Alligator mississippiensis: one gene and its partner. The protein of the gene in region 2 purifies or fractionates together with the protein of the main gene of each other region. This does not show direct contact. Links are inferred from orthologs where the notes say so. Each region holds a gene or a part of one and is shown on either strand. Other genes may lie near its edges.

What was found. Proteins that work in one complex are often made in the same cells at the same time.
Region 1: the proteins of HDAC6 (region 2) and tubulin beta-4B chain purify together in Homo sapiens (affinity purification with mass spectrometry, with the first as the bait; 4 studies listed by BioGRID). This does not show direct contact. The link is inferred for Alligator mississippiensis from reciprocal best matches to the Homo sapiens genes HDAC6 and TUBB4B.

What each region holds. Positions count from the first base shown.
Region 1 is NC_081835.1:40,548,363-40,558,986, forward strand, and holds tubulin beta-4B chain, read left to right. Parts: upstream 1-6,165; 5' UTR 6,166-6,230; coding exon 6,231-6,287; intron 6,288-6,406; coding exon 6,407-6,515; intron 6,516-6,595; coding exon 6,596-6,706; intron 6,707-7,447; coding exon 7,448-8,508; 3' UTR 8,509-8,664; downstream 8,665-10,624. Other genes in the region: CIMIP2A (ciliary microtubule inner protein 2A), read right to left, coding at 8,665-8,750, 9,581-9,698. UniProt on the Homo sapiens protein: Tubulin is the major constituent of microtubules, a cylinder consisting of laterally associated linear protofilaments composed of alpha- and beta-tubulin heterodimers.
Region 2 is NC_081831.1:28,536,454-28,546,888, forward strand, and holds the start of HDAC6 (histone deacetylase 6), read right to left. Parts: upstream 6,564-10,435; 5' UTR 6,497-6,563; coding exon 6,212-6,496; intron 5,727-6,211; coding exon 5,598-5,726; intron 5,268-5,597; coding exon 5,179-5,267; intron 4,452-5,178; exon of another isoform or gene 4,424-4,451; coding exon 4,339-4,423; intron 4,180-4,338; coding exon 4,139-4,179; intron 4,024-4,138; coding exon 3,927-4,023; intron 3,796-3,926; coding exon 3,698-3,795; intron 1,720-3,697; coding exon 1,615-1,719; intron 1,453-1,614; coding exon 1,384-1,452; intron 1,270-1,383; coding exon 1,143-1,269; intron 442-1,142; coding exon 376-441; intron 1-375. Other genes in the region: CDK20 (cyclin-dependent kinase 20), read right to left, coding at 7,109-7,390, 7,853-7,978.

The DNA.
Region 1 (10,624 bases), on a different chromosome or scaffold from region 2:
TCTCTTAAACACCCCCAAGGTGGGGGAGAGCACCACCTCCCTTGAAAGCCCATTCCAAATTTTGGCCACCCTTACCATGAAGAAGTTTTTCCTGATATCTATCCTATATCTGCTGTCAGTTTGTGACCATTGTTCCTTGTTACCCCAAGAAGCACCCTGGTGAACAGAGCATCTCTGATCCCTTGCTGCATCCCCCTAGTGAATTTGTAGGCTGCCACAAGATCACCTCTCAGCCTTTTCTTGCCTAGGCTGAAGAGGTCCAGGTCCCTTAGTCTCTTCTCAGAGCTTGTCCTGTAAGCCCCTCACTATATGAGTGGCTCTCCTCCGGACCCTGTCGAGTCTATCAACATCCTTCTTGAAGTACGGTGCCCACAGCTGGACACAGTACTCCAACTGCGGTCTAACCAATGCCGCATAGAGGGGAAGTATCACCTCCTTGGATCTATTTGTCATGCATCTACTGATGCATGATAAAGTGCGGTTAGCTTTGCTGATGATTTCCTCTCACGGACAACTCATGTTCACCTTGGAGTCCACTATGACTCCGAGATCCCCTTCTGCTTCTGTGCTGCTGAGAGGGTCACTTCCCAGCCAGTAGGTGTGCTGGATATTTTTGCATCCTAGATGCAGCACTCTGCACTTGTCCTTGTTGTACTGATCTTCCCTCCCCCCTCCCCTTCCATCACATTGGACTTACCAGCTGGACACAGCTGTATCGGAAATTGGATTGGTATTGGTCAATATGCCTCCTTAAATATCAGCTATCAGTATCAGCCCAAAAAAATCTCTATCAGTGCACCCCTACTTCTTACCTTAGCAGTACCCGTAGAATGTGCTGAAGTTGCATTGCCCTGTTGAAGGGATAAAAGGTAGTGTACATTTCCTGCTCTTCAGTCTTCTCCCAACCACAGAATCTTGTATTTGACTTGGAGGAAAAATGGAAGTATGGTGTATGCAAGTGTGTTTGTGGACAATACCTCTTGAAGAAATTCAGTTACTGGTAAGTAATTTCTCTTTCTCCTTCAGTAATTGTTCATATATATATATTTTCTCACCAGTGGGCAACTCTAAAGCTATGCCTCTCACATCTGGATGTGGGTCCACTAGGCAACATATCTGAGTCATCTAGGTATATAACAATTTGAGGACCTCCCTTTGTGAAGGTATGAGCTAAGTTCTAGCTTGCCAGCTTACAGTTGTCAGTTAGAAACACTGCAAAGTCAGGCATGGAGGCAGCCTGAGCTTTAACAGGCATAGATATCACTTACAGCACAATTTCACACAACCCAATAGCCAGCTGGATACTCTCTGGGCTGATATTTTTAAATCCTTTGGCTATAGATACAAAAAGTCATAAAGATTCACAAAAAGGACTTAAACTGATGCAAATAGTAGGCCAGTGCCTACATAACATCTAGAGTATATAATAAAGACTCAGCTTGGAAGGTATGTGGCTTTAGAAGGGGACTGGTAGAGAGTCCTTCTGGTGCAAATGAAACAGTGATCACTTTGGGCAAGAATTTCAGGTGAATCCTGAGGACTACCTTCTCAGGAAAAAGAAGTAGTATGCAGAGGTAATTGCTATTAATAAACATTTTTTTAAAAACTTTACCAAGAGAGAGAACAAGCAATGAGTAGGTTGTAGTGGCTCCAGAGGTGGGTCCAGTTGTGAAGACTAGGTTCAGGTCTAGTCTGTAGTAAGAAAAAACATCTTCACTAGGCCTTTGAGAAATCCTAGGGCTATTGGGTATGAGGTTCTATGGTAGTCATTAATAGAAAGGGTGAGTGATATGCTGATATCTAGATGTGATGCATCTAGACATAACTTGACTGAATTCATAAGTAGATTAGCATTATTGAGCTCTCACTAGTAGCCTTGAATATTCAGAATCAGAGAAAGGAATGTGCCTGTAGTAGCACTAATTGAAAAACCTTTCAAGCCATTTAGCCATTTAAGTTCACCTTACCTACAATGGATGAGAATAGTCCTAACTGGTTCAGAACATTCTCTCTCTTTCATTGAGAGTCACTCAACATCCATGGTAAGAAGTGGAGAGGGTAGAAATCTAGATGGAAACTCTCCCCTTGTTCTGTCCAAGTAGGTCCAAGAATGGGGGCAGGGACTTATGGCACAACACCAGCAGCTGCATAATCTCCTGGTACCAGAACCATCAGAATAGGGGGTGATGAGGGCAGATAGGATCAGCTGGGTTAAATCTGGTCAGATCTGGCAAGTTACCTGGGGAATTGGAGGCATTCCCAGATTCAAATTAGGATATTATATAGCAGGGGTGAGCAAAATGTGGCCCTGGGGGCCAGATGCAGCCCACCAGGTCATTCTATCCAGCCTGCAGGGCCCCTAAAAATTTTAGAAAATTAATATTTATTTGCTCTGGGCTGCTTATCATGTGGCCCTTGATTGCTTGCCAAAACTCAGTAAGCAGCCCTCTGCCCAAAATAATTGCCCACCCCTGTTATATAGGGTACATCTACGCAAGTGCTTTACTGTAGAAATGACTAATTAGCTTTGAAGTAAAGAGTCATGATCTACATGTGTGCCCGTATTAAGGCGCAGTAAATTAATTAACTCCACTGTAGGATAGTACTGTCTGGGACAAGTACTTTCCTACAGCAGAGTAGTCACATGTGCCAAAATGCATGTGTATACAGTGATTGGAGCTGCCTGGGGCATGAGGGTGCTACAGTTTGGGGGATGCCTACTAGCTAACTCTGCACTGTAGCACCCTCATGTCCCAGCCAGCCCCTCCACAGCATATTGAGCTGGGGCAGAGGTGCATGTATAAACTCTGCAACCAAGAGCAATAAACTCATGCATGAACTGCACTTCAGTTTATTGCTACCTGCTAACTGCACATGTACATGCACCCATAGAGGGTTGTGATGAGGAGCAGATGTAGAATGACGGGAGGGCTAGTAAATGGTGAATTATTTTGCTGCATCAGGCAACTGGGATTGATTGAGTTAGGAGAGGGTTACTGTCTGTTTTTGGAGGTTTAGGAATGGTTAAGGGAAGTTTGAAGATGGTGCACAAATGGGGCAAACCTGATAATTGGGAAGTGTAGCCGAGAGTGGAAGGAATAGGAAAGTGGGGCTGGGTCAAAGGGGATGGGAGCATAGTATTCAGGTGTGTCTTTTCTTACAGTCATTGCTGTGACTGTAGCTTGGGTAGGCATACCTGAGCTAGCTTGAAAATTAGCTAGCTTGTGTACTGCTCTCTGTAGCCATGGCAGCATAGAACTCCGTGCCAGTTGCAAAAGCAGTGAAAACATGAGGTAAATATGTGGATGGCTAGCCCATTCTGAGCTCCCTGGTACTGCAGATACATTGCTAATGTCACTCAAGCTTATTAGTTTAAATATAGCTTTAGGTATGTCTACACAAACTAAATTCACAATAATATATTTGTGAGCTCCCTAGTGGCATTCTATTTTATGCCTCAGAAGTTGCCAGAAGCCATTCAGAGCAGTACTGTGTTTTCATAACTGGGCTTGGCAAAGCTGTGTATATTTAGTAAACCACTGTGCCGCTTTGGTTTCTTTATATTGTTTGTGGCTAAATATTGGAGAAAGAAGGGGTTGAGAAGGGAGGACTGGGTGTTAGGAAGCAGAGAAGTAACTGAATCTCAATAGTTGGGGTATTATAGTATTGGATATAGGGGAAATGTTTGTAGGGAAAGGGTACAGCAGCCAACTTTTGAGGAACACAATCTGGGGCAGTGCCAGACACTCCACAGGCCTCTTGAACCAGAAATAGCACCACTTATAGCTCTGGATAGTGCGCTTGCCTTAGTGTGGTGCTGCAGGTTGGCTAATTAGACCCATGCAGTACTGTGTGAATGCCAGTATGAAGCCAACTGCCTCCCACACAGGTAGAAGTATAGTTGCATTCTTGCAGCCTAGTGCTGCACCTATTCAAGCTTCAGGACACTTCCTTTCACTGTGAAATGTCACCTCTTTTGGGATCTTTTTTCCAAATTCAGGACAAAATTTAGATCTTTGGGTACAGGCTAAAAATTTGATAATCTCCTGGAAAATTTGGAAAGCCATTTGCTTTAGGGAAGGAGAACCTGTTTGTTGGAGGGTTGAGTGTAGATGGGTTTGCGAATGACAGCTAGGTGAGGACAGAAAGAGGCCTTTGTATAAGAAAGGGAATTAGGGTCGTGGTGGGCAGTTGGAATATGTCTTTGGAAAGGGGTACTATGTTTAGAAATGCGTATAGGGGTGGTTGGGGGGCTGGTAGTAAATCTGGGTATCAGGATGACCATAGGGTTGGGTGTAGGAGTGGATGGCAACTCAGTGTTGGGAGGTGGAGGAGGGTTAGGAAGGAGATTCTAGTTTGGGGAAAGAAAGAGGAAGTTTAGGATAGAAGTCTGAACGTAGTGTGGGCCTGGTAGGTTGTGTTTCAGGAGGTTCGTCCCAGGGTTGCTGTGCATTTCTGAAACTGATTTTGGAAAGATGTATAGAAAGGCCCAGTGAGGAAGGAAGAGATGTCCCTGATATCAGAATGCACAGAATGGGTGGATGATTGGTATCTGGATAATGAAAATGTATGAAGGGACTTGTAGGGAACTTGGTCTGGGGTACTGGGGTTAGTCTGGAGTGGTAGCAGGGTGTCAAGTGGGACAAGTTGGCTGAGAAGGGAGCCTCACTTGCAGTACAGCAGGTCTCTGGAAAGGGGAGGATTTGGAAGCAGGGTGAAAGGGCAAAGTGCTTGGGAAGGAGCTGCTGAGTATCAGGGATGCGTGCACTTGCAGAAGTGGGGCTGGATGCTGAGCAACAGGCTTTGGGGAAATAGGATGTCCCAGGTGGCAGTTTGGGACGATTGGTGGCAGTGGGAAAAAAGGGTGCATGGCAGAAGTGGCTTGAAATGAAGTAGGTGTTGGCTGCCAGGGCTGTGGGGATGTTGAGAGAGTGCGTGCTGGGCACCAGGGGAGTGGATGGTGTTTGGGAAGGGGCTGCTGGCTGCCATGCCTCCACGAATGCCTCATGCATGCCTCATGCCTCCCCAGGCTCGGGGGTACGGCGACCACCCGCAGAAGGCGGCGGGTTGTGGGGGCAGTGAGCGGGGGCCACCTGCAGGCGGCCGCAGCAGTGTCAGGGGCAGGCTGCGGGAGATGGTGAGCGTTGACCGGCGGTTGGCGACCACCCGCAGATGCCGCTGGCAGTGGCGACGGTGGCCAGCGGCAATCGGCAACGGCCCGCAGACGCTGCCAATTGGGGGGAAGGGGAGGGGTGGCGGGCGGCAACCGCCTGCAGGCGCCACCAGCACCGTTGGCAGGGGCAGTCTCCAGGGGTGCACCGACAATCTCAGGGGGTGCATGTGCACCCCCTGCGCGCAGTCAGTGCGTGCTTGTGACGGATGTTGGGAAGGGGACCCCGGGCGGGGTGGACAAGTGGCATGGGCCAGGGGCGAGCGGAGTAGCAGATCCGGCAGGGAGCAGAAAGAAGAGCGAATCGGCAGTGGCAGGGGACCGAGAGGCAGGTGGGGAGGCAGCAGCGCTCCTCGGCCCACTGGTTCAGGACATCAAGGGCGGGCCGCACGCGGTCAGAGGAGGTATTTCAAGTGTGCGGATGCCGGAGAGGACGGGCCTCAAAATGTTTTTCTTTTTCCAAGGAAACGCGTCCCAGGCAACACTGAAGGGGAGCTGCCCCCACCCCCACATTTACGGCCACAGCGTAGCGCCTTGCCGCAGCTCGTAGTACACGTCCCGCCCGTTACGCTGCAGACGCAGCCTAAAGCCTTTCAAGAATACAGACAGAGCCACCGCCTTGCTCCTAACGCAAACCTCACTGCGGCGGTTCCTAGGACACGGGGTGTTAACCCAATCGTTGTGAGATTACTTCATTGCTACGGGAAACAGCCAATCAGCCTCTACATCAATCATTCAATTAAACCAATCGGAGCTGTGCTGAAGAGGGAGGGGAGAAATTGTGACGTTCAGAAACTTAACGTCACGACCCGCAGGAGGGGGCGGTGTTGGTTGAGGAAACGTGATAATTTGACCGACAGTTTCTTAACCAATCGCGCTTCTCTCTGTTCCGAGCCTCATTATGGTTGTCCAATAGTTTTTGCCAGCGGTCGGCCGGGGCCGAGGGAACGTGGGTGCGCGCGCAAACCGTTACTATATAAACGGCGGCGGTTGCTTGACGCACGCAGTGAGGCTGGTGCGGTGCTGTGGGCGGTTCGGAGTTGTCTGCAGAGCCGCCATAATGAGGGAGATCGTGCACCTCCAGGCCGGGCAATGCGGGAACCAGATCGGGGCCAAGGTCGGTGGCAGGGGGCGGGCGGGCGGGCCGGTAGTAACCCTCGGTACGCGGGGGCAGTGGCTGACAGGCGGGAGGGCCGCCGCTCGCTGCAACCTCTGACCTGGGTGTGTCTCTTGCAGTTCTGGGAGGTGATCAGCGACGAGCACGGTATCGACCCCACCGGCACCTACCGCGGGGACAGCGACCTGCAGCTGGAGCGCATCAACGTCTACTACAACGAGGCCACAGGTAGGTGCTGCCCCCGCCCCTCCTGCCCCCCCCCCCCCGCACCCCGATTTCCGGCCTCACTCTGCCTCCCTGTTTTCTAGGTGGCAAATATGTTCCCCGCGCAGTGCTCGTGGACCTGGAGCCGGGCACCATGGACTCTGTGCGCTCTGGGCCTTTTGGGCAAATATTCCGACCTGACAACTTTGTCTTTGGTGGGTGTCACAGGGTTTGTTTGGGATTGGGCGGGCAGGCGGGGGGATAGCTTGCCTTGTCTGTAGTGAACTTTATCCTGGCTGTAGAGGACTTCTTTGGAGCAGGGTAAGCTTCACCTAAGGCTTGGCTCTGTTTGAAGTGGTCACAGGTGTTTTGGGTGGGACGTGGACAGGGGCAAGGAGTGAATTCCTTGTCAACACACTTATGATGCATCCAGTTTCTGTTGCAGTGTAATCACTGCGACTTCGAGTTGATCCAAGGGGGCATTGTGCGAACATGGTAATTGGTGTTCAACCTTCTGGCCCTTTAGAGGAATGGTAAGGGGTCACTCCACAAACCAGCACGCTTTTAATATGTCTACTTCTCTCTCACCATTAAACTTCTGGACCTGGAGAGAGCTGTCTGTGCCATATGTTGAGCACCACTGTTTTTAACAGACTTTGCATGTTGAATACTCGCACTATTTCTTTATAGAATAATCTGGAATAAGAACTTTAAATTCATGAACTGCTGTCTTTTTGCCAGACTTGGCTTCAGGCACAGTCATGTCTATTTTTTTTTTTTTTTTTTTTAATATTAATATTGAAACTTGTTCTTTAAAAAGTAATTAAAGAATAATATTTCTTAAATATTGTCACTACCAGGAAATGCATTCTCAAGCACTCCATTTAAAAAAAACCCATCCAAACCCATAACATCAGCAGTGCCTGTAATGTAATGTAAAAATGGTTTTCTTCCAGGTCAGAGTGGAGCAGGAAACAACTGGGCAAAAGGCCACTACACTGAAGGTGCTGAACTGGTTGACTCTGTGCTAGATGTTGTAAGAAAAGAGGCAGAAAGCTGTGACTGCCTCCAGGGTTTTCAGCTTACACACTCCCTTGGTGGAGGCACTGGCTCTGGTATGGGCACCCTCTTAATCAGCAAGATCCGTGAAGAATATCCAGACAGGATCATGAACACTTTTAGTGTTGTGCCTTCACCTAAAGTATCGGACACTGTAGTAGAGCCTTATAATGCCACACTTTCTGTACACCAGCTTGTAGAAAACACAGATGAAACCTATTGCATTGATAATGAAGCACTATATGACATCTGTTTCAGAACGCTGAAGCTAACTACTCCAACATATGGTGATCTGAACCATTTGGTGTCAGCAACCATGAGTGGAGTGACCACTTGCCTACGTTTTCCAGGCCAGCTTAATGCTGACTTGCGTAAACTTGCAGTTAATATGGTTCCTTTCCCCCGTTTGCACTTCTTCATGCCTGGCTTTGCCCCACTCACCAGCCGTGGGAGCCAACAATATCGGGCTCTAACTGTGCCAGAACTCACACAGCAGATGTTTGATGCAAAGAACATGATGGCGGCATGTGACCCACGTCATGGCCGCTACCTCACTGTAGCTGCTGTTTTCAGAGGCCGCATGTCAATGAAAGAGGTGGATGAGCAAATGCTTAATGTACAAAACAAGAACAGCAGCTACTTTGTTGAGTGGATTCCCAATAATGTTAAAACAGCTGTTTGTGACATCCCACCCCGTGGCCTGAAAATGTCTGCTACATTCATTGGTAACAGTACAGCTATCCAAGAATTATTTAAGCGTATTTCTGAGCAATTTACTGCTATGTTTCGCAGAAAGGCTTTCTTGCATTGGTATACTGGGGAGGGCATGGATGAGATGGAGTTCACTGAGGCTGAGAGCAATATGAATGACTTGGTATCTGAGTATCAGCAGTATCAGGATGCTACAGCGGAGGAAGAAGGGGAGTTTGAGGAAGAAGCTGAGGAAGAGGCAGCATAACATTTATGCAGTAGCAATTCCTGTATATTATGTCTAAAGCTGTATGAACTCTTTCCATTCAAAACTTTTTTGTTTTTGTTTGTCTGTATTGTGTGAATCTTTTGCTGTTCCATGACAACTTCATGTCCACTGATGTACAGACAATTAAAGCATCTTTCAAAATGCATGAGCTTGTTGCTTTTGTTTCTGGTAAGCTTTTCGGGAACTGTTGCCAAAGGTCAGCATGTAGTTGTTTCTAATAGCTGGAAAATAAAATGCAGTAAAGTTAGCAAGTATTCATGCAAAAATAGTTTTGATTGGACAAATTTGTGGAACAAAGCTAGACAGCTAGTAAACTCAAAATATATGCCTGCTTGCAAGGAAGGGATGGTGTGGCAAGATGGTGCTCTTGTCAAAGAGCCTGCTACCCTAGAGGTGGTGAAAGGGATTGGGTGGGGGTGGGGGGGGGGGTGCAGAAGAGTCTACATCTAGTTCAAAGACCTGACAACAAGGTTAGTGCATCCCTCCTCCACCATCGCCTTTATGCTTCCTCTGTTAAACATAGGGAAAATCATGTTCCTATACCTTCCCCATGGGGAGCTGAGCCTCCGGCTTCTGCCATGTACAATCTTCACAGCAAGGTCACTAACCCATTGGCAGTGGGTGGGTGAGTGGAGGTAGTCAGAATTTTCGCAATGGCCTTCCATGGGATCCTGTACACCAAAGAGGGGAGAGCAGGTGCTTTCCATGTTGGACACTGGACCACCTTTGCCAGGAGGTGCTGTGCATTTAATGCTTCAGGGAGTGCTAATGATACCAGCCCCCTGCAGGCTCAAAAGACCACGTACCATAGTAACCTGCAGGGCCCTAGAGCAGAGGTGAAGGGCCCTTTTGCCTTCACTACCACCTCCTGGTGCAACAGTATCCCCCCTCAGAAGCTAATTCACTTTCACCTTCCAAAAACACTGATTAGCAAGACCTGTAAAACTGACTATGACAATTACTGGGCAGTTCATCATCATCATCTAGTATGCCTACTATGATTACCATGGCTATTACCATCAGTGATTCATGTCAAACCTGACAAACTTACTCGGTACAAAGCCAGTGTAGAAAGGTATCAATCCAGTGTTGGTGTAAATTCTTTTGTTAGGCCAGTATGTTTGGGGTAGTCTATTATTAGATGTGCACATTGGGTTTCTTGCCGTGTGCTGAAAGAATAAGTAATAGTTTATTTTAAAACGTAGTGTTATACAAACTTGTTTTATCACATTTGCACTCCTAACTATGACATTAACTTTGATGCAGAGCCAGATTCAGGGTTGAATAAAGCAAGACCCTAGGTTCACAACAATATATCTGAATTACAGTGATATGTAGTCCCAGTTTGACCATGACAAAGGTCCTGTGGTAGCTATGGGCCACAACTGGGACTGGCAACAGTGCCACTTAAAGATACAGGTCTTGAAGGTAGGCTGCGAGAGAGCCACAGATGCTAACTGGATCTTCAGTGCCCACAAGGCGATGACCACCTACCATAAGCAGTTCTCACACATCCTCATGGGGGGTGACTCCATAGCACCCCCCATTTGCCTGACACTGATGGTTGGGAACTAGCTGACAATGACTTTGATGCCTCCAGTGAGGCAGAGGGGGAAGACACCTCTCATCCAGGGACTTCAGTGGCACAAAAGTGAGCACAGGAGAAGCAGGAAAAACTTCATGGAGTCTCCATTCTTGTACAAGGGCAAAGAACCAAAGTTTATCACCCCTCCCCATGGTAGAGCTCTGGTGAGACTCATCCATCCATCAGTGCCGTTATTAAAAACTCATTACCATTTGGCCTCTAAAGAGACCAGACTGCAGCTCATCTATGATCAGGACCTGTTTTGCAAGCTTAGACTCAGAATTAAGATACTATTCCTTTAATTATCATCACTCAACCAAAAAGAAAAAAAATGCCATGAGACAAATCTACAGCATGACCCTTGAATATCACACCCCAAAAGCAGAACAGACACATTTCAATGCCCATCTAGCTATCCCACAAATGAACACAGATTCTCAATAGCTTTTTAGGTCTTCTTGAATGTTTCTCATTTTCCCTCCAGTCTATACCCTATGTTTATAGACAGCA
Region 2 (10,435 bases):
GGTATGGGGGCCTGAGATGCTGCACGCTAGACCTGGGTGCATCTAGGAACAGCTGAGGACAACATCCTGTAAAAAGGGCCAGTATGCACCCAGCTCTGAGGTTGAACAGCTAGGAAATGGGTGGGTATAAGCACCCCATGGGAGGGTGAGGACATACCCAGTATTGGGGTAGAACAGCTAAGCTTAACACCCCATGGGGAAGGCTGGGACAGCTAGGGAATGGGCAAGCTAACAGCACCCAAAATGAGCCCAAGTGCAGCCAGCTCTGGGGTGGGACAGCCAGAAATGCTCTAGTACAAACACCCCCCTCCAGAAAGGCTGAGAGGCACCCATCTCCCCCTAGGAATGGGCAGAGATCAGGTCCCCCTCCAGTACCTCGAAGGCTACAGGCAGCAGGAGCTGGAGGAAGGCGGAGATGTAGTCAGCATCCGTCATGCCAGGCTAGGATAGAAGCAGGGGCTTGGGTGAGGGACATGGGGCCAAGATGCACCAAGCTCTGGGGTGAGGGGGTTGGGGACAGCCAAGTATAATGGAGCACAAAGGTGGCCCAGATTCAGCCAGCTCTTGGGGAGGCGGGTGAGAAGTAATCCAGTATAATATGGCACAAATAGAGTTGAGATGTGCCAAGATTTGGGGTGGAACACCTGGGAATCAGCCACATGCCTGCTCTGGGCTGAGGGCACCTGGGGACAGCCGAGTATAACAGCCTAGAGAAAAATCCCAGAAGTGCCTGCCAGGAGGGGGTAGTGGCTGGGAAACAGCTGAGTATAATACCCCACAGGAAGGCTGAAATGTGCCCAGCTCTGGAGCAGGGGTGTCTAGAGGCAGTTGAGTATAACAGTCTAGAAAGAATCCCAAGATGCAACCAGCTCTGGGATGGAGCAGTGGGTAACAGCTGAATATAACACCCCAGGGGTAGACCTAAATGTGCACAGCTCTGGGGTGGAGGGGCTGGGGAATGGCCACATATAACAGGGCACAGATAAAGCAGAGATGCAGCCAGCTCTAGGGCTGAACAGCCAGGTATAAACAAGTCTTGGAAGGAGAACCACAATGCACCCAGCTCTGGGGTGGGGTGGCTGATGAACGGCGAAGTATAACAGATCCCCCCAGAGGTGGGGCCAGACACTGGGATCCCTCACCTGGTTCCAGGGCAGGTTGATGGTGAAGCCACAGCCTTGCCCCCGCCCCACAGCCGATGAATCAGAATCCGGGAGATGGGGCCAGAATGCCCCGTTGTCATAGCGATGGACCGAGAAGTACAGGACGCTGGGGGTGTTGTATGATATCCTGTCTCCCACAGTCTTGTGGTGCCCCTCACTCTTGACCCGCAGACTGCCCCCCCACCCCTCCCCCGCAGCTCCAGAGTCCCTCACTCCTGACCTGGGGTCATCTTCAAAGATGAACTGGGTTCCCTGCCCATGGTGGACATCCCAGTCAACAATCAGGACCCTAAAACCGATGATGTCAGGAGGAAGAAAAAAAAAAAAAAAAATCTAGGCATCTGGGCTTCCCACTTTTAGTCCCTCTCCCTTCCCAGAGAACCAAGCTCCCCTGTTCTCACCCCTGTCCCCTCCCCACCCCTTCCTAGAGAACTCAGGTGTCCGGGCTCACCGCTGCAATCCACGGCGCTCCCGGGCATGACGGGCAGCGATGGCCACATGGTTGAAGAGGCAGTAGCCATCCATACGCTCCCGTTGTGCATGGTGCCCTGGTGGCCTGGGGGGAGGAGCTGCTGTAAGCTCAGCCCCCTAGCCCCACCCCCTGCAACTCCAGGCTCTGCCCTACCACAGAACCCCAGAGGAAGAGTGAACCTCTAGGTCAGGAGTGTCCAACCTTTTTGAATGTGGAGCCGGATCATTAACTTTTTAATCACCCAGTGGGCCGGCAAGCCATATTCAAACACCCTCTGTCCTGGGCCAAAGAGACCCTGCCTGTGTAGCCCTACTGCACCTGCCTGTTACGGCAAGGTTCATGGTAGCTGCTGGTGGGCAGGGGCAGGAGGGACCCATTCTGCATCCAGCCAGCTACTGCCTCAGAGACAGAAGGGGAGAAATAAATAGCTCCACATCACCATCCCCCAAGCAGCGGAGCCCCACGAGCTGGCGCTGCCTGAGTGGGGCTGGAGCGAGGCAGCCGCTGCACTGCAGCCCCTCACCTGCCTGCCCACGGGGCTCCGCTTACCGTGGTGCCCGGCCGCCTACAGCCCCGGTGGCCTCAGCGCTGCGAGCCCGGAGTCCAAAAGACACTGGTTCCCACTGCCTTGCCCTGTAGAGGTCACACCAGGACCCCACCTGCTGAGGCCCCCCATGCTGCTGGGGACAGGAGGCGGCCAGCCAGGTCAGCACCAGCCAGCAGAAGCGGCGGCGGAGCCATGTGCCGCTTGGGACTGACCAGTGCAGGCAGGGGGAAAATGCAGCTGAGCCGCTGCCCCTTTGGCCAGGCTTGTCCCGTCCCGAGTGGCAGGCACATGGCTCTGCCGCCGCTTCTGCTGGCCAGTGCAGACCCTGCTGGGCTCCTCCCATCCCCAGCAGCACATGGGAAGCCGCATGCTCCGGATGGGATGGACCCAGCTGGGTCAGCACCAGCCAGGAAAAGCGACATGCAGCTGAAGCTGGCTTCTCACGTGCTGCTGGGGATGGGGGGAACCCGGCCGGGTCTGCACTGGCCAGCAGAAGCAGCAGCGGAGCTGTATGCCGCTTAGGATGGGACAAACCCAGCTGGAGCAGCAGGAGCTCAGCTACATTTTCCCCCTGCTTGCACCGGTCAGTCCCGAGCAGCACACAGCTCTGCTGCCGCTTCTGAGGGCTGGTGCCGACCTGGCAGGCCTCCTCCTGTCCCCAGCAGCATGTGGGAATCAGGCTTCAGCTGCTTGCTGCTCTGGATGGAACAGACCTGCCTGGGTCGGCACCAGCCAGCAGAGGTAGTGGTGGAGCAATGTGCTGCTTGGGACTGACCAGCAGAGGTAGGGGGAAAATGCAGCTGAGCCCCCTGCTGCTCCAGCTGGGCTCATCCTGGCCCGAGAGGCACATGGCTACTTCTCTTCCCACATGCATCATGTCCGCAACATCAAGCTGATGCAGTGCATGTGGAAACCTTGTCCCTTCCCTAGCCCTTCAGCAACCATTAGGAAGCTGCTGAGGGGCTGGGGGAGGAACAAGGAGTGGGAATGAAAGTAAATAGTGTTTACTTTAGTTTCCCGTCACTGCACAGCGGGCCTCAGAAAATACCTTGGCGGGCTGTATGTTGGACAAGCCTGCTCTAGGTCCAAGCCCCATCCCCAAACAATAGCCCCCAAGCCCTCCTCTGTAGCCCTGCCCCCTGACTCACCCTTGGCTCTACCCTCAGCCCTTCCCACTTTGTCTTGCCCTTGCCTCTCTCTAGCCCTTGTAGCCCCACTCCAGCCCCTTAGCCACACCCCCTAGCCCCACCCTAACCCACTCCTAGCCTGTTGGCTCCACCTCCAGCCCCAATAGCTGCACTCCTGCCCGTACCTCACCCAAGCCCCCCTAGCCCCACCTCTGAGTTTCCTCAACCCCCCCAGGTGCTTCATCCCACCCCTCCCCTGCTAGGCCTGTCCTCTTGGGCCCCTAAGTCCAACCCCTATAACCCCCCACCCTTAGAACTCAGGCCCCACCTCCAGCCCCTTTTCCCATCCCCTTAGCCCCACCCCCCAGACCTCACTAGCCCGTCTTACCGGATCAGCGCCAGCCCATTCCTCAGCTCCCCACTCAGCACCTTGTCAACCACGGCCAGGACAGTGCCGGCTGCCAGCCGCGCACAGTGGTATGAATTCTGCAGGGGTGGGGATGGTGAGGGACCCAGGCATCGAGGTTCCTAGCCCTCCCTGCTTTCACCCACCTCTCCTGCCAGAGAACCCAGGCATCTGGGCTTCAAGCCCCCCGCCCCCAAAATCTGGGGCTTACCGGATGCAAATAAACTGAATCGTAAGTGTCTGAGAGGGCGCGGAGTTTACCCTCCTCCATGTCGGCAGTTGAGGCCATGAGGGCCAGGAACTGGGGGCTGCAAAGTGAGGAGGGGGTCATGGTGCCCCTCACTCCCCTCCTTACTCCCAACCTGCAACCCCCCCCCAAACCCATGGACCTGCAGTGCCCCTCACCCCCAGTAACTCTCTCACCTGTGTACCAGCAGAATCTCCTCTTCCGTAGCCAGTCTGGCCTGCAAAGAGATAGCCCTAAAAAAACCCCCAGGCATCCAGGCTCCCAGCCCCACACCCCTCCCAGAGAATCCAGGTGTCTGAGTTCTCATCCTCCCTACCCCACCACTCTCACCTGCAGCCTCTCCTCCACTCCCAGAGAACACAGGCATCTGACTCACCTGCACAGGGACACACCTCTCCACCAATCCATCTTCCACCAGCTTGGTCCAGATGGATGTCAGCCGGGCTGGGCACTCAGGGAAACTGCAGCAATAAGGGCAGAGTCAGGAGGCTGTGGGGTAGGAGTGAGGGGCACTGTGAAGCTATGGGGACACAGGTATCCAGGTCCCCCAGCCATTCTCCACATTCCATGAACCCAGACATCTGGGCATCTCAGGCTCTGGTAGACTCAGGCATCCAGGTCCCCCAGTGAACCCAGGTGTCTGGGATCCCCTCCATGAACCCAGGTATCTGGGTGCCCCAGCTCCCTCTGTGGATCCATGGCCCAGTAGGATTCATTATGGGTCAGGAGTGAGGGGCACCCTGGGGCCATGGGGAGCACTGCAGGTCAGGTGTGAGAAACACCAATATGGGTGGGGTTGGGGGGTCAGGAAGAGACACAAAAGGAGCAGGGGTGGGAGGGACCAGGTCAGCCAGCCAAACCCAGAGTAAGACTGGGGAACCGAGGCTGATGAGTTGATCCCAGATTCTGTCACAATGATGGGGACTCATAGGTGGGGGGGAGAGAGTTGTAGGCCAGGCTAGGGAAATCAATCCCAGACTGGGACTGGGGATCCTCGGGCTGACCAGTTGATCCCAGATCCACCCCCTCCATTACAGAGATGGGGGGGGGAGCAGGGAGAGACAGGACAGAGCCCAGGGTAACAAGCCAAGCTCAGAGTGGCACTGGAGTCCCAGGCTGGTGAACTGATCCCAGATGTGCCACCCTTAGAGATAGAAGTTCATGAGGGAGCTAGGGCAGCACAGGAGCTGCAGATGAAGGGAGCAGCTTCCCTCACCTCTTGTCCCAAAGGCAGTGAAAGCTGGTGAGCTCCTTATCATAAGCAAGGCCTGTCCCTGAGGGCACTGGCTTCTCTGCAGCCAGATCCTGGAGGGGGGGTAGAGAAGGACACAGGAGATAGTGAACTCAGACTTCCAGTATCTCCCTCCCAACATAATACCCTGCCTCACTGCCCTGTCCAGAGCAGGAGAACCCAGGCAGCTGGGGGCTCCCCAATGGCTCCCCTACCATCGAACCCACCAGGCCCCTGTCCCCTCCCAGCAAGAAGACCAAGGCATCTGGGCTCCCACCAACCCCCATCCCCCCCACCTCCAAAATGACTCAGGTGTCCAGGCTCTTCCCCTGCCAAAACCTTGTGGGGACACAGGCCTCCAGTTTCTACCCCCACTCCATGAGGCGCAGGTATCTAGGCCGTACCAGGTGCTGTAACCCATCCTGGAGCTCGGCCACCTCTTGATGCAACCTCCGGGCACGGCCGCGCCGCTTTGCCTCAGGGAGCCCTGGGCTGCGGCGGGGAGGGGGTGGTGCCTGCCGACCAGCCCGGCCCTACAAGGGGATGACAAGACAGACTGCAGAGCTCTGGCCACACTACCTTGGGATCAAACCCACCCCTTCATGTCAGGCCACACCCACACGGCCCGGAAATCCAGCTCCAGTGGTCAGGCCACACCCACTCCTGGCTCCCCTCCAGCTTTACCTCCCTGAGAGAAACAGGCACCATCCTTGGCCTCCAAGCCCCGCCCACCTGACCTAGGCCACACCCCAGGTCCTTAAGCCCCACCTCCAATCTTCCTTACCCGCAGGCTCCACCCCGTTCTGGCCCCGCTCCCTGAGCACCAAGCTCCTCCCACAGCCTGGCCCCGCCCCATTTTACTCCACCCTGTCAGTTTCCCCCCCCCATCTTGGCCCCACTTCAGTATCATAAGCCCCACCCCTCCTGGACCCCGGTACCGGGTTTCAACTCTCCCAGCGTGGTACCCACTCCCCATAACCATATGGGGGGGGGGCAAGTGGTGGGGCGGCTACTTTACCGACGGTGCCGGGGCGCTGGGTCCTTCAGGCCCCGGAGAGACCCCAGGGGGCATCGCGGCGGCAAGGCAGGGAGGATTACAAGTAGGCGTGAGAGGCTCCGGGTTGGGGGGAAATGGTTTCATCTGCTCCCCCCCCCCCTTCAGAAAGATGGTCTCTCCCGGGCGCTGCCGGATGGAGTCAGATTGGCCTGCCCTGAGCGAGACCATTCGTACCGCGCGGGGCAGGCAGAGCTGGGTGACACAATTCCCCTGCACATGCGCACTTAGAGGGGTGGGAGAGACCATTCACCTCAGTAAAGGGGGAAGGAGACTGGGACTTTCCCAATGCTTGGGTGGGGGCCGGGTACTACCACGGACACTAGTTGAGGGCAATTAAAGGCAAAGTACCAGTATCTTAAAGAGACAGACTCTTTATTGGGGGGGCTGGGGTGGGGGGGGACCTGGAGCCCCATGACCCCTAAAACCCCTGACTCTCGGCACCTGCTTCCCCCAAGGGTCTCACCCATCAAGAGCCCCTCCCCTCGGTGGGGGCGGGACTAGGCAAGAGCCTGGGGGTGGAGCCAGGGAGCAGGCCAAAGCAGTGACTCCACCCCCTCAGGCTGGGGAATGTACCTTTAGAGGTGGTCCGGCAGGTGGCATTGGGGCAGGATATGGCTCAATCCTTCAAACCCAGGGGTGGGGCTTTACCCATGGCCTCTACCCCCTCAGGGTCAGTGGGTGGGGTCCAGCAGGTGGGGGTCATAGTCAGAATGTAGCTGCACCACTCAGTCCTGGGGGCAGGTTAGGGAGAGGTGCTGGGTCCAGGCTGTGACTCCACCTCTCAGGCCAAAGAGGTAGGGCTGGGCTGGGGGCTGGACCTAGTGGATGTGGGATAGGGCCAGATCACATCCCTGACCCTCAGGCCAGGGAGGAGCCAGGGGTGGGGTAGGCGGTGGGGCCCAGCAGGTGTGGGGTGGGGGAGAAGGGCAGCAGGTGGACCACAGGCCCCAGGGCATAGAGAGCACTAGGGTCCTCGGCTCCTAGGGGGGACGGGGTCAGTAGCTCCAGCGGGGCAGGGCCCTCAGGGCCAGGCAGGGCCCGGACACCTGGCTCTCCACTGCGGCGCTTCTTGCCCTTGGCTGAGACTTTGCGGTTCCGTGTCTGGATCCCATCCTTGCGCATGGTCAGTGGCCGGTTCACCTGCAGGGAAGGGGTCATGAAGGGATCCATGCATCCAGGGGCCAAGAGGGATTCAGGTGTCTGGGATCCCAGCCCCCATTCCCCTCCCAGAGTTGGTGAAAGAATCCAGGTGACCAGGACCATGCCCCATCCCTCTGCAATCCCCCCCATCAGGGATGTAAACCCAGGTGCCCTGAGGATGGAACCCAGATATGTGAGTGGTCCCATGGTGGGAACCCAGGCATTTGGACCTCTCCAGGGATGGAACTCAGGCAGCCCTGGGGTAGGAACCCAGGCATCAGGGTGGCCTTGGGAAAAGGACCCAGGCATCTGGGCCTCTCCAGGGATGGAACCTAGGTACCTGGGCAACGACAGGATGAGAACCTAGGCATTTGGGCCTTCCCAGGAAAAGGACCCAGGCATCCGGGCAGCCCTGGGGTAGGAACTCAGGTGGCCCTGGGGCAAGAATGGGGGGGCACTCACATTGTGGAGCTTGTAGTACAGGCCGCAAGCGTTGCAGACGGGCTGCCCGCGGGGGTCGCGGCGCCACAGTGTTGTGGTCGTGGTCTGGCAGTTGCTGCACTGGGTCCCTGCTCGCTTGCTCACCACCTGGAGGTGGGGGGGCAGGGGTCAAGTGGTGGGGGTCACAGGGTCCCCATGGTGTCTGGATGGAGTCCCTAGGGGGTATGGGGATTCCAGGAGGGGTTTGGAGATCCCCAGGGGGCATATGGGAAGCCTGGTGGGGGGTCTCTCACCAGGTGTTTCCAGGGAACAAGTGGTTGGGGGTCCCATGGATGGGTGCATTGGGAGCATGTATGTGGGGGAGAAGAATGGTCCATATTGGGAGTCTGTGGGGGGGAGGGTGTATTGGGAGGGTCCATGCCAAGATCCCTGGGGGGTGGTTTGGAAAACTCCATGTGGAGGTCCTTGCAGGGGATGTTGGGAGGGTCCATGTTAGGGATCCAACCCTAGGGGGTAAATTAACACAGTTCATGTTGGTGGACAGTCCATGGTGTGGAATGGTCCATGTTGGGGGTCCTAGGCAGAGGCCTGGGAGAGTCCATGTCAGGGTCCTGGGGATGATGCGGATGTTTCAGGGTGGGGGGTTGTTATAAAAGAGTGCATGTGGAGGTCCCTGGGGGATTGGAAGGGTCCATGTTGTGGGTCAGTGGAGGGAGTGAATTAGCAGAGTCCATGTGGGAGGACAGTGTGTGGAATGGTCCATATATTGAGGGTCTATACGAGAGTACTGGAAGGGTCTGTGTGGGGGGTGTATAGAATGGTCCTAGCTGGGGACCCAGGAGGGTGTATTGGGAGGGTCCTGGGGAGGGTTGTAATGGGAGAGTCTGTGCAGCGGTTGGGAGGGTCCATGTGGCAATCCCTGAGGGACTGTATTGGAAGGGTCCATAGGGGTGTATAATGCTCCATGTTAGGGATCTGGGGGGAGAGCATGGGAGAGTCCACATGGGAGTCACAGGTGGAGTGTATCAGAAGGGTCCATGAGGTGGGGGGGAGGGGTAGAAGGGATGTATTGGAAGGGTCCACAAAGGGATTCTGGAGGGGATCTCTCACCAGACGTTTCTTGGGGCGGATGAGGGGCCGGTTGGCACCGTTGACACGGTGGTACAGCCCACAGGCATTGCATAGGTAGTGCCCGGTACCATCCCGGCGCCACAGTGGTGTGGCCGTGGCCCCGCAGTTCACGCACTCCCGCGCCTCTGTCGGGGGGAGACATTATCTAGGGGGTCCCGATCCTGCCCAGCCCCAAGTGCTCTATGTCCCCTCCATCCCCCTGCCCAATCTTGGTAAGAGCTTATACCCTCCCCCCAACCAAAGGGCCCAATCCTGGGGTGGGAGGCAGAGAAAATCAAGGAAGGTCCTGATCATGGATGTGGGGGAGACAGGGAACCCAATCCTGGGTGCGGGCTGTGTAGCTCCAATTCTGGCTGGGGGCAGGTGGGTCCTGGTCCTAGTCTGAGCGAGCCCTCAATCCTATCTGGGGCAGGAGGGGGGAGCCCAATCCTGACTCAGGGGGAGTCTGATTCTGGCTTTGGGGAGTCCCAATCCTGGCTGGCACAGGAGGGGAGGTGCCTGATCCTAGCTGAGACTGAGGCAGATGGGGAGAGGACTCACCACATGATGCCAGGGGCAGGCTGCCCCGGAAGGCAGGGGGGTAGGCGGGGCCAGGGGGTGCCAGGTAGGCCAGGTCAGGGGGGCTGCCATAGCCCCCGCCCAGGCCCAGGCTCAGGCCCAGGCCTAGCCCCAGCCCCTCAGTGCCCCCCCCCACCCCAGGACTGGGCCTCTCCGTCTTCAGCATCTCCAGGAAAGTGGGGCTGTCCCGGGCCTCAGGGGGGGGTGGGGGTGAGGGAGGGCCAGGGAGGGCCTTGCTGTAGCCCCCTGGGGCCCAGCCCCCCGCAGTGAAGGCTGAGCCCTCCCCCCACGGCAGCGCTCCCAGCACTGGGTACAGCTGGCAGCCTAGGGAAGGAAAAGAGTGAGGGTTAGTGCCACCTTGGGGTGTGCAGCATCATGGCAACCATGATGGGTAGGTGTCATGGCAACTGAGGCTGGAGGCTGTGATGTGTAGATTGGTGTAAGTGCCATGATAACGGGGGTGTCATGGCAACTGAAGGAAGCTGGGGTGGTAGGTTGGTGTGGGTGTCATGGCAATGGCAAAGGGGATTGGGTATTATAGCAACCACAAGAAGGCTGTTATGGCAACTGAGGCAGGAAGCTGGGGTGAATAGGCTGGTGTCTGTGTCATGGCAACTGAGGCAGGAAACTGGAGCAGTAGGCCAATATGGGTGTCATGGTAAGCCTGGCGGGAATGGGGTCCCATGACAACTGTGGGGGCAGGGCAGGCAGAAGGATGACTAGGGTGGGTGTCATAGGAACCAGGGGCATTGGGCAGTGGGGTTTTGTCAAAACAACATGGGCAGGGAAGATAGGCCAGGGTAGATGTCATGGCAACCATGGATGAGGGATGGGGCATGGATGTGGGATGGGGATGGGAACCATGATGGGAAACCATGACAACAGGGTAGATGTCATAGTAACTGAGGAGGTTAC